Linked DNA regions of Astyanax mexicanus. The protein of the gene in region 1 interacts with the protein of each later gene in a biochemical or structural test. Links are inferred from orthologs where the notes say so. Each region holds a gene or a part of one and is shown in the gene's direction. Other genes may lie near its edges.

What was found. The genes of interacting proteins can lie anywhere in the genome.
Region 2: the proteins of NEDD4-like E3 ubiquitin-protein ligase WWP1 (region 1) and dvl2 form a complex in vitro, tested with the Homo sapiens proteins (2 studies listed by BioGRID, with this or other methods). The link is inferred for Astyanax mexicanus from reciprocal best matches to the Homo sapiens genes WWP1 and DVL2.

What each region holds. Positions count from the first base shown.
Region 1 is NC_064413.1:45,898,017-45,905,110, reverse strand, and holds the start of NEDD4-like E3 ubiquitin-protein ligase WWP1, read left to right. Parts: upstream 1-4,080; 5' UTR 4,081-4,128; intron 4,129-7,094. UniProt on the Homo sapiens protein: E3 ubiquitin-protein ligase which accepts ubiquitin from an E2 ubiquitin-conjugating enzyme in the form of a thioester and then directly transfers the ubiquitin to targeted substrates.
Region 2 is NC_064415.1:18,700,840-18,708,289, forward strand, and holds the start of dvl2 (segment polarity protein dishevelled homolog DVL-2), read left to right. Parts: upstream 1-4,357; 5' UTR 4,358-4,854; coding exon 4,855-5,015; intron 5,016-7,450.

The sequences.
Region 1 (7,094 bases):
GCGTTATGTAGCATTTAAACTATAAAATATTAGCTTTAAAATTATTGTGAGCAGGGGCATAGCAGCAAATTCTGGGCCCTGTACACTCTCAATATCAGTGGGCCCCTATCCATGCCAGTACAGAAGGAACATGAGTGACAAAAAAAGTGTCTTAAAATGAGTGAAGTAACACCTAAATCAAGCAAAAAAGTCACTGTTTTTGGAAACAAGAATCAGAATAACTTGATTGCTGCTTGATTGTGCTTATTGTTAGTTCAAATTACTTAAAATATGGTACAAATTCTAAGTAACAATAATTAAGATAATTATCTCTAAAATAAGCAAAATAATCTAACACTTACAATGCTTAGTAAGACAAAAAGTCTTATCAGAGAAGATAATAAGATTTATTGCCTTAAATTTACTTGCTAAGAGTTTTTTGCAGTGTGGTTGAATTGAGAGTTACACTTTCTGACTTTAGGGGAAGCCAAGGAGCAAGAAATGCCAAATTCTCTATAATGCTGCTTTAAAAGGAAGAGCTTTTTTAAATATTAGGTAACATCTGGTATAAGTTCAGGATCAACAAGCTAATAATTAAAGATGATTTCTTTTATACATTGCTTCATTGTCATCTACAGGAATGCTGGAAATGGAAATGAAAGACCCATTCTACGAAACCCATTCAACATCTCACTCAGTTGGATGGAGGAAGAGTCTCACTTGTCTTCTTCTTCCACCGATAAAAAGGGGGGGAGCAGATCATCGTCTGTAATCCACAAAGGTCTAGAGGAAGTCTCCGCCTGACTCCTCTTCCTCTTCCTCTTCAATCGATGAAGAGTTTGGAGAGCAGAACGACTCTTTAAGAGAGAGGAAGACATTGGGTTGTTTGTAGGTAGTTAATCAGCTGCAGTCTGATTTGTGGTCTGATTTCAGAAGTAACACCAATACACATAGCCTGCCAGTCAGTTAGAAGAAGAATGAAGAAGCTCCTCAGGAGAAACATTGTGGTGCATCTCTTCTTCTGCTGATTGGTCTGCTTCATACACAGAAGCTCCTGCATGCTCACATTCTGATCAGGTGGTGGAATCTGAATCTGTGAAGCCACAGCTCACACTGAAGCAGACACTCAGGGGGCTGAGACTCCTAAAATTTAAGGTATGTGAATATTAAGTTATCCATATTTTATACTCTTCAAATCACTTTGAAATTCTCATTTGTTAAATCTTTGTTATTAAGAAGTCTACAAGGGTCCATCCCATGTAGACATCCTCCACAGCTAAAAAAGTAATTAAATACCACAGTTCTGCTCCATGGGCGAGTGGTGGAAGCAGAAACTGTGCTCCCACAGCCCACAGTAATGCAGGAATCCAGAATGAGACTGAGGCTTCTGACTGAGTACACTGAGTAGTTCAGCTTAAAGGTATGTTAGATAAGGTATTTAATGTATTTATTTGTAAGGTATGTTTTTCCTTTCATTCACAATTGATGACCATTGAGAAATCTCTATACCCTATATATGATGGTCAATTACAGTTTAATTATACAATTATAGTTCTTCAGCGTTCTGTTTAGACTGTGCACATTAAGCCCTGTTAGTAGGTGACATTTGCGAGAGCACCAAGGATTGAACCCAGAGGTGAATTTAACCTAAAAGCAGATTGACCCTGGAAGAGCTATCTGTCAGCTTCTGTCTGTCTGGTGTCCACCAGAGAAGGATGGGATCCTCTTCTGAGCCGTGTTTCCTCTCAAGGTTTCTTCCTCTTAATCTGAGGGAGTTTTTCCTTGCCCCTGTTGCTCAGAAAAGGTTTGGACTCAAATTGAATTATTGATGTTTTCATCAGTTTTGTGCTTCATCAATGTTGTCTAGAAGAGGCATTTTGACTTACTGACTGACTGATGAACTATGTTAAAATGTTAGTATGAGGCTTCGGATGCTCCAGCGGACGAAGGTGCTGCCACTATGATCAGAAAATTGCTGGTTTGAATCCCGGTCATGCATCTCGCCATCAGCTATCAGAGTCCAGAGAGAGCACTGGGTGGCATGGTGTCGGTTAGCAGATGTATCGGAGCCATATATATTAGCCACATGAACCTATAATCTAGTGATTTTTTTTTTGAGGCAATGAGCTACAGGTCAGTATTTAGCCTGCTCTCTACAGCAGCATTATGCAGGAATTAGTCATAATTACTCCAGCTAAAAAAAAAAAGTTTACTCATTTCATGTCATTTTTAAAAGGAATGTAATAAAATGAGAGTGAGACTGAAGCAGAGTAAACACAGGGCTGAATGGTGGATTTACTCTGGTCAGTTTAAATTTTGAAAAAAAAGTGTAATGGAAAGGAATTCTCTCTGACTTAGTTGTTTATTGATGTATTCATTCTTCTGCGTTTCCTTTCCTTTTACTTTTGTTTTCCGTTTTCTGTGACATGCCTTGATAATATACAGTTATGTTCAGTTATGTAATATGTAGTTGTGTTTACATACAGTGCTGTGAAAAAGTATCTGCCCCCTACTGATTTATATTGAATATTATACATATTTTTTTCAGATGAACAAACATATTTTAATATACATGAGTAAATATAAAAAACACTTTTTAAATGATAATTATATTTATTAAAGGAAAAAAAGCATTTGCCCCCTAAACCTAATAGCTTGGTTGTGCCACCCTTGGCGGCAAAAACTGCAATCAAGCGCTGGTGATAATTGTCTTTCAGAGTCATCTCTGTGGAAGAATTTTGGCTTACTCTACATGGAAAATTGTTTTAATCACATTGGAGGATTTTTGAGCATGAACAGCCTGTTTAAGATCATGCCACAGCATCTCAATCAGACTTTGACTAGGCCTCTCCAAAAACTTAATTTTGAGCCATTTAGTGGACTTGCTCTTGTGCTTCGGACCATTGTCCTGCTGCAGAACCCAAGTAGGGCTGAGAATTTTTGATCAGCAGAGGTTTTTGCCTTGGAACTCTCCCATGGATACCCAGTCTCTTTCTTTTTATTAGATCATTAACACTGCCTTTAACTGAGACAAGACCTTAACACTTTTAATTCTTTACACAATAATTCCTCATGTGATCCTGTATAGCTTTAATGTCTTCAATATTAAATTTACAATGTAAAAAAAAACACATTGGGCTCTATTGTACCTATCTGTATGCAGCTAAAGGCATGTACTAATTTTCTTAATTATTTATGGTTATGTTTTAAGCATAATGTAAAATAAACCAATCACTCTGTCTCTTGCCATTCCCTCTGACTTTGGCCGATGGCGTATCGCTTCTGTGCTTCTTTGCAGATGTGTGACCAGGTCATTTTTCAGGGACAGCAATGTTATTTTATTGTGTGTTTTGTTTATTGTTGATGTAAAAGTTGAGTCTGTGCTCTGTTGTGTGACTTGCGTGTGTGTGTAATGCATGCCGTTGAGCATGCACAGCACACCTGCATTGCCAAGATAGCAATGAGCATGTTGACTGTTGTCAGAGTTTAATCAGTAAGTGGCGCACCTATGTTTTTCACTGCCAAGATAGCAACATGACAGAAATTTACAGAAATGTGATATATTTGTAAACTCCGTCACTATTTAAACAGTACAGGGCTGTTGGCGTGGTGTATGATAGCACAAAACTCACCTTGCACAGGGTGTAAAATAGGACCCATTAAATGAGAAATGAGAAGAGGTGTGTCCAAACCACTGACTGGTACTGTAAGTAGGTAAGTAAGGTGGAGAACAAGATTTGCCCTTTGGACTTAGTTGAAGTAATAACTTCAATATTTTTGTTGAATGTTGAAGTTATAAGAGATACTAAGTTACATGGTTCTTTAAATTACGTCATTGGACGTGTGGAGGGGTTTCTCTGCGGTGTGTGAATCTGGATATCAGAGAGAGAGAAAGAGAGAGGGAGAGAGAGACAGACAGACACAGGGAGAGAGAGAGAGAGAGAGAGAGAGAGAGAGAGAGAGAGAGAGAGAGAGAGAGAGAGAGAGAGAGAGAGAGAGAGATGGTCAGACCAATGACTGTATAGCTCTGCCTGTCCAGCTTTGGAGAACAGACACACACACTGCTACAGAAGCAGTAGCAGAAACAGCTCAGCAGGAAAACACACTGACTGCGACCTCTCCGCTGAGAGGAGGAGGGCGACGGACTGTGTGAGTTTATATTTATTACACAGCTCTGATTTGTTTGTTTGCTTGTTTGGATGTTGTGTAGCTGCTGCTGATGTTGTTATTTGTATTGGAGGGGTTTTAACAGCTAACCCGGGATTGCCCTGGTAGTTATATGGTATTGTAGCTAGGTTAGCTAGCTAGCTAGCTTGTTATAAGCTGCGTTCACAGCTTCGGCAAGTATTTCTTCATGTTTATTTTATTAAGCTAACAAAGGTCAGCTGTTGTGGCTTACACACACACTTTAGTACACACTCTAACACACCTTCACACACACTCTCAGTGCAGTTTGAGTAAAAATGGCGGTCACTAGTGCAAGGCCCTGCCGATTTGTGCGAGGTTTATGTTGGTTTTTAGTGGAATTATCCGTTCCACCTTAAATGGTGTAGCAGTTGAATGCTGCAAATGCTGATCTGACAGAATGGAGCGGATGCACCGTTTTAAGGTGGAACGGATTCCGCTAAATCCGAGCAAATGAGCTAGGAAGCTAACCTAGGTTCAGTTTTAAAGGCTGTGACTTGTGACAGTAACATATTAAATGGTTTTGACAAACATCTGGATATAATTAAACAAAGCATGAGCAAAATTAGACAAAATAAAGCTAGGTTAGGTCATTAGATTAGCTAACTGTTAGCTAATAAACAAACATAGATAGCTAGCTAGCCAACTGTCTGTGCCTGCCTTTAGCCTAGCTTAGCTTAGCTTAGCTGATATGAAAAAGCTACGAAATAGCTAGCTAGCTAACTACTTAACTAAGCTAGATAAGTTAAATCGTCTCGGTTGTTTTGTGAGCATTGCCTAGTTGACAAACTAATTCTCCCCACATTAAGGTTAACTAGCTAACTTTGGGTTGGTGGGTGAAGTGACAGCTGTTTATTTAACGTTTGACTTTTTTAAGACGTTAGAGTACCCCTAACGATCTAGCTAGCAACGTTAGCATATCACAGGGCTACGCTAACTTAGCTTAGCTTGCTTAGCTAGTTACCGGTAATAAACAAAATTTGAGTTCACTGGCTGCTGAGGAAATGTATAACTTAACTGTTTTTTACAAGACAGTAAAAGGTTGGTGACCTTCTTGACACTTAATTTTAGAATTAATTAAACAGGTAATTTTAGCAAAGTTTATATTTTTTACAGTGCTAGTAACATGACTTGGACTTATGGACTTAGCTAATTATATATGTGAATTTTAGACTGTTTTTGAGTCTGTTGGATGTACACTTAAACTAAAGATCAGATCATAAGCAGAACATACAGCTAAATATAATGTCTAGTCTTAAATGGAGCCAAAATGTGGGGTAATAAGCTGACTTTTGCAGCAACTGGTGCATCCTGCTGCTGTATGTGTGTGTGTGTGTGTGTGTGTGTGTGTGTGCTTAGGCCAGCACTGAAGCGTAGGACTAGAGGTTAATCGAATACATTTTATTTACCAAATTATTGTTTTAATGCAATTGAATGGGATAATTGAGATTGTACATTTTTATATATAGAAGCTGGCAAAGAGATTTTTATAGATAGACACTTTCTTCTGAAGGCTTTTATGGAGCAGTGATTTCCATATTTTAAACTCCATTATGTGGTTTTGCTAAGTGTGTGACATGCGGTATAATGGCAAATGTTCATATCACTTCCATGTCCACAAGTGTATGAAACCAAGCACCTAGACATTAAGACTGAATCTATTAACATTAGTAAAAGAATGGGCAGCTTTCAGGAGCTCAGTGGATGCCAACATGGTATCGTGATAAAATGCCCCCTATGCAACAAGCCCAGTTAATTTTCTAATTACTAAATATTCCACAGTCAACTGTCAGTGATATAACAAAGTGGAAGCAACTAGGAATGACAGCAACTCTAACTGTAAAAGGCAATGTAAAAAATCAGAGCCGCAGCAAACACTGAGGTGCATGGTGCGCATTCAGTCTCTACAGACCTATAAAGACCTCTTATCAGTAAGAGTCCATGAGCTGCTTAGGGCCCCAGGATGCGATTCCAACCTATCTAACAACTTCACAACGCAAGAACTTGAACTGGTAATCCAATGCCTGAAGACTGGCAAGGCACCAGGCATAGACGGCATCCATTCTGAGTACATAAAACACCAAGGCAAGAAAGCAACTGACTGGCTCTGTTCCTTTCTCTCTGCATGCCTCCGGTACTTAAAGCTGCCCAAGATCTGGCGTTGTGCAAAGGTGATAGCCCTCCCGAAACCGAACAAGCCAAGCGATGACCCAAAGGGATACCGGCCCATCTCACTTCTGTGTGTTCCTTACAAGCTTCTTGAGCGTCTCGTCCTGGCACGCCTCACCCCAGTGATTGACCCCCAGTTGCCCAAAGAACAAGCTGGTTTCCGAAGTGGCAGATCAACAACAGATCAGGTGACCCTCCTGTGCCACGACATAGAGGAAAGCTTTCAGGCAGGTGAGAAAGCTGGTGCTGTTTTCCTGGACCTCACAGCTGCATATGACACGGTCTGGCTGCGTGGGCTACATATGAAGCTTCTGGATACCATCCCAGACAAGCATATGGTGAGCTTCATCATGGAGATGCTAAGCAACCGCAGCTTCCGACTACACACCAGCAATGACCAAAGCAGTAGGATGAGAAGGCTCAGGAACGGCGTCCCACAGGGTTCAGTGCTGGCCCCAATGCTGTTTAACATCTACATCCATGACCTCCCCTTAACAACATCCCGGAAGTACAGCTATGCAGATGACCTGGCCATCTTATTCAGCAATCGATCCTGGGAAGCAGTAGAGGAGGGCCTCTCCAAGGACATGGAGATCTTGTGCTCCTACTTGAAGAACTGGCGCCTCAAGCTCAGTGTCGATAAGACTGTCACAACAATGTTCCACCTCTACAACAAGGATGCAACCCGCAAGATCAACATCACAGCTGATAATGTGCAGCTACAATCCGAACCCTCCCCGACGTACCTCGGAGTGAAGCTA
Region 2 (7,450 bases), on another chromosome or scaffold:
TCCACAGTGGACAGCAGAGTGGGGGGCAATGATTGTGACTGATGGTGTCTGGAAAGAACTGTCTGTGGCAGGAATCACATACACATTCAATGCAGGATACTCCAAGGAAATGTCCCACATGTCAGTGTAAAACACTCCTTCAGCTTCCATTGGACATGGCAAAAGTCATGGGACAGAGTGCTATAGTTGCATGTCATTGTAATCCATGAAATTGTATTTGGTCACTATGTTTAGTAACTTTTCTGATTGAAATTAAAATTGAAATGACTGATAACCACATTAACATCCCTACATTATCTTTCTGGATAATTACCTGCACACTCTGTCTCACTGCAGGTTTGTTCCGGGGTTTTCTGAGAAACTAGTGCCAAGACACTGCTGTCAGTGTCAATCAACACACCTGTCTGACAACATCTGAAATGATATTACTATACCACTAGCCCTGGGCGATACCTAAACTCGCATTATCATTACCTCCACACTCCCAAACAAGAGACTAAAGGTTTATTAACATAACAATCCACCGTTTTAACTGTAAAAGGAAATAAAATACAGAATGTACGTATATTTTACATTATTATGAAAGCGATTTAAAGGTGCCATGGGATTAATTTAATGCACAATGCAATTGCAGTTACATTTTAGACAGATATCATTAAGCAATAATACACAAGAGGGAGTGCTATAATGTGTAATATTGGCATTGCTGTGCTGCAGTGCCAATATTACATGTTATAGCACTAACCTAGAGAGTATTATTGCAATTTTACCACAGTTCCATTATCTCTGTTCATTGCAAGACTTTGAGTTAAAGTGGATGAGAAAATACGATATGTTTGGTTATAAAAACTCAGCTAGTGTAAATAGTTCCAATGCTGCTCTGTGTGTAGCTACGCTGTTTGGCTTGTAAGCACTGTATCCGTGCTGGGTTACCTGCAGTGTTGCCAACTCCTCAGTAAGGAAAGTAGCTATTGGCTGTCCTAAAAGTCGCTAGAAGTCGCTAAATGACGTCATCACCTAATTTGCATAATACATGTTTTTGAAGCTGTAGGATTAGGGTTTTGGGAGAGAAAAAAGTGAGTAAAAACACCATAAATGTGTTAGAAATGTTACAAATGAACAACTTCTGTTGCTTTTTAAATAGGACGTCACTTTTTACAATAACTTCATTTTTACGTTTTTTGCCATGTTCTTAAATGTTATTATAAGAGCAGCCGGAACTGTTATTCTACGTTTTTGTTTTTTTAATTTTTTTTCAGAAGTATAAATATTAATGTGTCTTCAGTGTGACACGAACAGAAATCCCTTAATCTAACTCACACAGTCTCAAGGTGCTTACACACTGAACGCGGTATGCCGCGCGGCATTCCGCTGTGCTGCCGCTCTGCTCTACGCTGGTCAGTTGCGGGTGCGTTGCGCTGCTGCTGACGCCAAGCGTCTCCTGCTGATAATAGGCGGAGTTTTCTAAAACCCATCACCTCTGCGAGCGGTGTTTTGTAGTTTTGAGTCTCTACAGCCTCTGTGGATCTGTATATGTTTCTCAGCCTCAGAACAAAGCTCTGATTCTTCTCTTCCTCCTGTTATCTCTATATGAGTGTAGGGAAGTGATGTACAGCTGAGGGGATTCACTAATCGCTATTATTAGTCTCTCGCGCACGTTTATTGTTGTTTGGACTACAGTTTCTCTCTAGTCGCGTGAGTTCATGTCATGCGTTTTCTGCCGAGGTACCGCTTGCCGCGAGGTCAAAGTTGAACCATGTTGAACTTTGCCCGCGGTAAGCGGTAGCGCGGTGGAGGCGTGGTTATGGGCGGGGAAACGCGCCGCTTTCCGCTCTGCTCCGCGGCAGCGACGCACCACTCTACCGCTCTAGACACTATTGAATCCTATGGGGGTCAGCGTACCGCGCCGCACCTACCGCGTGCAGTGTGTAAGCACCTTCAGTCATTCACTCACCTCATTCACCACATAGCCTGTCACTCACCTCCTCCACAGTGTCTGCCTCTTTATATAAAAGCTAAATATCTATTGAACCATTGAACAATTTGTCTATGATTCAATAGATATTTAGCTTTTTTTTTTTTTAGGATTTCTGTTCGTGTCACACTGAAGACACATTAATATTTATACTTCTGCTCTGTAAATACAGAGCGGGGTCAGTCAGCGGCGGCTGTGGGCACGCGCGATTCATTTAAACAGTGTGTTGGTGGAGCGGTGTGTGTGTGTGCTCTGAGTGTGAGAGAGTGTGGGTCTGTACTGTGAGTGGTGTGGGGCGGGGCTCCCGGCAGCGCCCCCTGCAGCGCGGAGGACAGGAACTGAAGTGCGCGTGTTCATCTCAGAGTCGCCAAAAGTCTCCAATAACACCACAAAAACTCGCTAGATTTGTCGCTAGTCGCTTTTTTACAAAAAAGTCGCTAGAGGGTCTGAAAAGTCGCTAAATATAGCGACAAAGTCGCTAAGTTGGCAACACTGGTTACCTGTATGTGGCAGAGGAATACATGGAGAACTTCGGTTACAGCACATTACCAATCACATTGCAGGGTCGGAACTAACTGTGGTATAATAACGTTTATAGGTGTGGTCTGAAAAGGCCCTCAGAGGCTGTGTTCAGGTAGTGTACCTCAGCCAGACTGCAATGCTTGCTTCCAGATTTATCACCAATTAAGCCATTATAGGACCACCAGGGACACCAGCTTTAGCTATCTATAAGTGAATCTACAAGTTCAGCTGCAATATCTGTGTGCAAATGTGCTGCAGGATGGTTAAAGAACCTGTATGCCTCCGTGCCCAAACATATCTCATCTTTTAATCCAGACTAGAGGCGGCCCAAGAGATTTCTAGACCCTACTTTACATTTACGTTTCCCCTAATAAATTTATCTTTTTTCTCTAATATTGTAATCACTTAGATATATCAAAAGTAAAACGCAAAAACATATATGAAGTTCTTATGGAGTTGTAATGCAGAAACATCTTCCAGCTCAGGGCATATGGAGGTCTGACTTCCCCAACCCCCCTCACATGAAACATTATGGTTTTTGATGGCTGTATGCCTTAAGGACTGAAGTGGATGTTAAAGACATTTGCCAAATTCGCTGAATGCTAAATCAGCCTAACTGCTCTGTAGAGAGTACAGTACAGTCTAAAGAAAAAGGCATGGTCAACCTAAACTTACATGTTTTTCTTTCATTCTCTGCTTATTTTTGTGTGTTAAACACTTTGGTACTCTTTGCTTAAATTAGATTTAACCTAAAACACTAACTAGGAGGGTCTGATACATGACAACCTGCCAGGACTCACTGAGCTGAACTACGAAAAACAAGATGACAAACAAAAAGGGTTTAATGTGACAGTGAACTGACAAATAGTGTTCATTAACTATTAATCAAACAAAGCTATTAAGCCACAACATTTCCATGTGCATGATAAAACCTTTTGTGTGAGTAAACACACAAAAAATTCTCCCTTATTGCACCCAGATTGCTGCACAAGTCAGCATGGAGTTACTTCTCAGACAGACATAAACCAATTACAGGTTTGGTCTGAAAAGGCTGTCAGAGGCTGTGTTTAGGTAGTGTACCTCTTGGTGAGAGAATGTTGACTACTAGACATGCCTCTACAACTCACTTCAAGACATTTTGCCAAGCTGTCTCAGCCAGAATGCAGAGAGCATTTATGGGACCATCTGCAACACCAGCTTCACCAACTCACCAGCTTCAGGCAAACTCTGTCCCAAACCCAAAATCCCAAACTCTGTTTCAAACCAAAATCCCAAACCAAAATCCCCAAACCCCTAACCCTGTCCCAAACCAAAATCCCCAAACCCCTAACCCTGTCCCAAAACAAAATCCAAACCCAAACCAAAATCCCCAAACCCTTAACCCCGTCCCAATCCCAAACCAAAATCCCAAACCCCTAACCCTGTCCCAAACCAAAACCCAAACCAAAATCCCCAAACCCCTAACCCTGTCCCAATCCCAAACCAAAATCCCAAAACCCCTAACCCTGTCCCAAACCAAAATCCCCAAACCCCTAACCCTGTCCCAAACCAAAATCCCCAAACCCCTAACCCTGTCCCAAACCAAAATCCCCTAACCCTGTCCCAAACCAAAATCCAAACCCAAACCAAAATCCCAAACACCTAACTCTGTCCCAATCCCAAACCAAAATCCCAAACTCTGTTCCAAACCCAAAATTTCTAACTCTTTCCCAAACCCAAACCAAAATCACAAACTCTGTCCCAAACTCAAAATTTCTAACTCTTTTCCAAATCCAACCCAAGATCCCAAACTCTGTCCCAAACCCCTAACCCATGCCTGTTCCTCGGGTGAGCAGGACCCTCCCTGGCTGGGCTGACGTCACGCGCCGCGTTGGCCTTCACTGGAGAGGAGTTTGAAACTCCGCCGTGTTGTTGTTGGAGGAAAAGCAGCGGCTGCAGGAGAGCAGAGAGAGCAGAGCTGAGCTGAGTGCGGGTGTGATTTGTGCAGCCGGGCGCTTTTTTAAGGGTTTAGCTGATTGTTTTGAGTTAGTTTAGGAGGAGAAAGGGAAATGTTGGGGATATAGAGGCAGTGGAGGTGGGCTGGGGGCCGTTGGAGCTTTTTTTTGTTGGTTAAAAGTTTATGCTCGCTTGCTTGGAAACGCTGGGTAAAGTTAGCCTGAGACTCCAGTCTGCTCCAGTCGACCCCCTCCACCACCTCCTCCCTCCTCCCTCCTCCTCCTCCTTCTTCTCCTCCTCCTCCTCTTCTTCTCGTTAGCTGGGCTACCCCTAGCGTTAGCCAGTTAGCTAGCTAACCTAGCTAGCCTCCCAGCCTCTTCCATAGTTTAGAGGATCCAGAGGGGGAAAGTAGAGGAGAAAGAATGGCGGAGACTAAAATAATTTATCACATCGATGAAGAGGAGACGCCGTACTTGGTGAAGATTCCCATACCGGCGGAGAAAATCACTCTGCTGGATTTTAAACAGGTCCTAAACAAGCCGAACTACAAATTCTTCTTCAAGTCTATGGATCAGGACTTCGGGTGAGTGAGGGAAGGAGGGAGGGATAGAGGAGTGGGGGCTCTGCAGGAATGGGTTGCCATGCAAATGATGTGGCCGAGAGGAAGAAAAGTTCTTATAAAAACTTTAAAAAGTTAGAAAAAGTTTACATTCCTCGCTCCCGTTGTAGATTATGGCTCCACACGCCTTGTTGAGCTGAAGGATGAACTTTTTAACAGTTTCTTCTAAAGGAAAAGTTGACAGTTAGGCTGACTGTTAACAACAGCGTCCAGGTTTATAAGCTAGGTTAGCTAACCTACTGCATTGTTCAAGGTAGCGTTAGGTTAGCACACTATCAGTTAAATCAGACTCCGCCGGATAAAAAAACAAAGACACGCACAGAGGATTTAACATTTTTAAACATTTTAATGCATCTAAAATTAGATAAAGCTGTTTTAGCTAAATGTATGATAGTTCTCCTCCTGACCAAGCTAACCCAGCTAGCGTTAGGTAGCTGCTTATCCTAGTTGAATGTCAGGCCCACCAAAGTACAGCATAACTGGTTAACTAATTTAACGTTACTTGTTAACTAACTAAGCTAACGTTACGTAAATAAAATCCAAACTCAAGCCAGCTAAATCATGAATCATCATGGGCTATGTCAAGCCCTTTTAGTCCTAACTCAGTTTTTACACTCTGTAAAGCATTTTAAAACTAGTTAACGTTACTCTTATTTCAGGTATCATCTATAACATTTTTACAATTCTGACAATTCATGTTACCAGGACAACATATCCATAATATACTTTATTATATACTATTATACTAATATACTTTACCAATAGTTCCAGTTTTTACTAATAAAATCTTCAGTTACAGATATCTATAATTATTTTTTTTACTAGTAATTTACTAGTTACACTTTCAGGTATCGTCTATAAGTTAGCTAGCATTTTTACAATTCTGACAAAAGTCATGTTATCAGGACAACATATCCATAATATACTTTTGACTAGTCAGAGTCATCTCTTACCTATAGTTCCAGTTTTTATTACTAAAATCTTTAGTTACAGATATCTTTTGATATATATATATATATTTATTTATTTTTTACAATTAATTTATTAGTTACACTTTCAGCTATCCTCTATAACCTAGCTAAAATGTTTACAATTATGACAAAAGTCATGTTATCAGGACAACATATCCATAATATACTTTTGACTAGTCAGTCATCTCTTACATTTGGTTACAGTTCTTACAACTACAATCTTTAGGCTTTAACTATTGTTTTTACTAGTTATTTATTAGTTAAGTTACACTTTCAGGAACCGTCTATAAGCAAGCTAATATCTTTACAATTCTCACAAAAGTTATGTTACCAGGACAACATATCCATAACATATCCATAATGTTCAAAAAAAGTCCAAAAGTTGTAATTTCAGACATCTGCAATAATTCTCACTTGTAACAAGTATAGGTCCATATATCTGTAATAGGGCGTTATTATTTTAGGGCGACATGGCCTTAAAATAATATCATGATTTTTTTAGGGTATTTTTGCAGTAACAATATTCTTGCTGTTATGACAAAACATTGACAAATAAAACAAAATGTCAAGAATACACAACTGCAACAAAGTAAATGTTAAATTATATTTGGAAATATTATTGCATACGCTGTGATATGGAAGATCCCTGTTATCTAATTGTAACAGAAGTCAATGATCCAACATGTCATGTCACTAATAATGCATTCCTCTGTTCAGGATTGAAGTAAAATAAATTATATGGACATATTAAATACACTTTTTAATGGCAAATGAGAACAGTGTGAATTTTCCTTTTGGTACAAACAGCATGCTGTACGAACAGCATGGCCCAAATGTCCCTAAACTAATATGATATTTCAGGGTATTGTTGCAATAACACTATTCACAAAAGTTGGCGATGTTATTGCGTACAAAACAATATGCTACACTTCTAATTGTACATATCTGTAACTGTTTTTTTATTGGTACAAATGTAAGTAAAGATACGAGAGAGTAAAATTCCATATAAAGCAGTGGTATCCTGTGACTAGTCAAAATTGCATTAAGGAAATATGGTCCTTCTCATGTGATTTGTCAAAGTGGCTTCATAGATCTGAAGATATGATATTATTTCTAGTAAGAAAAAAAATAAAAGCTGATCTGAGAAATTATACTTTCTACTAGTAAAAACTGTATTACAGAGATCTGTACTTGTAAGTTAAAACTTTATATTATTTGTGTCATCAAAATCTGAGTTCTCTTAGTTAAATGTCAGTCCCACCAAAGTGCAGTGTACATATTTTTTTGCATTGTTAACTCTAAACTGCAAACAAGAACCCGTTTAGAGACATTTAAGTAGTTTAACACAGATTTTTCTTCTGCTTCTGAAAGACAAAAAGCTTTAGCTAGCTTGTCTCCTAATCTCAATTCCTCTCATGTCTGTCATCT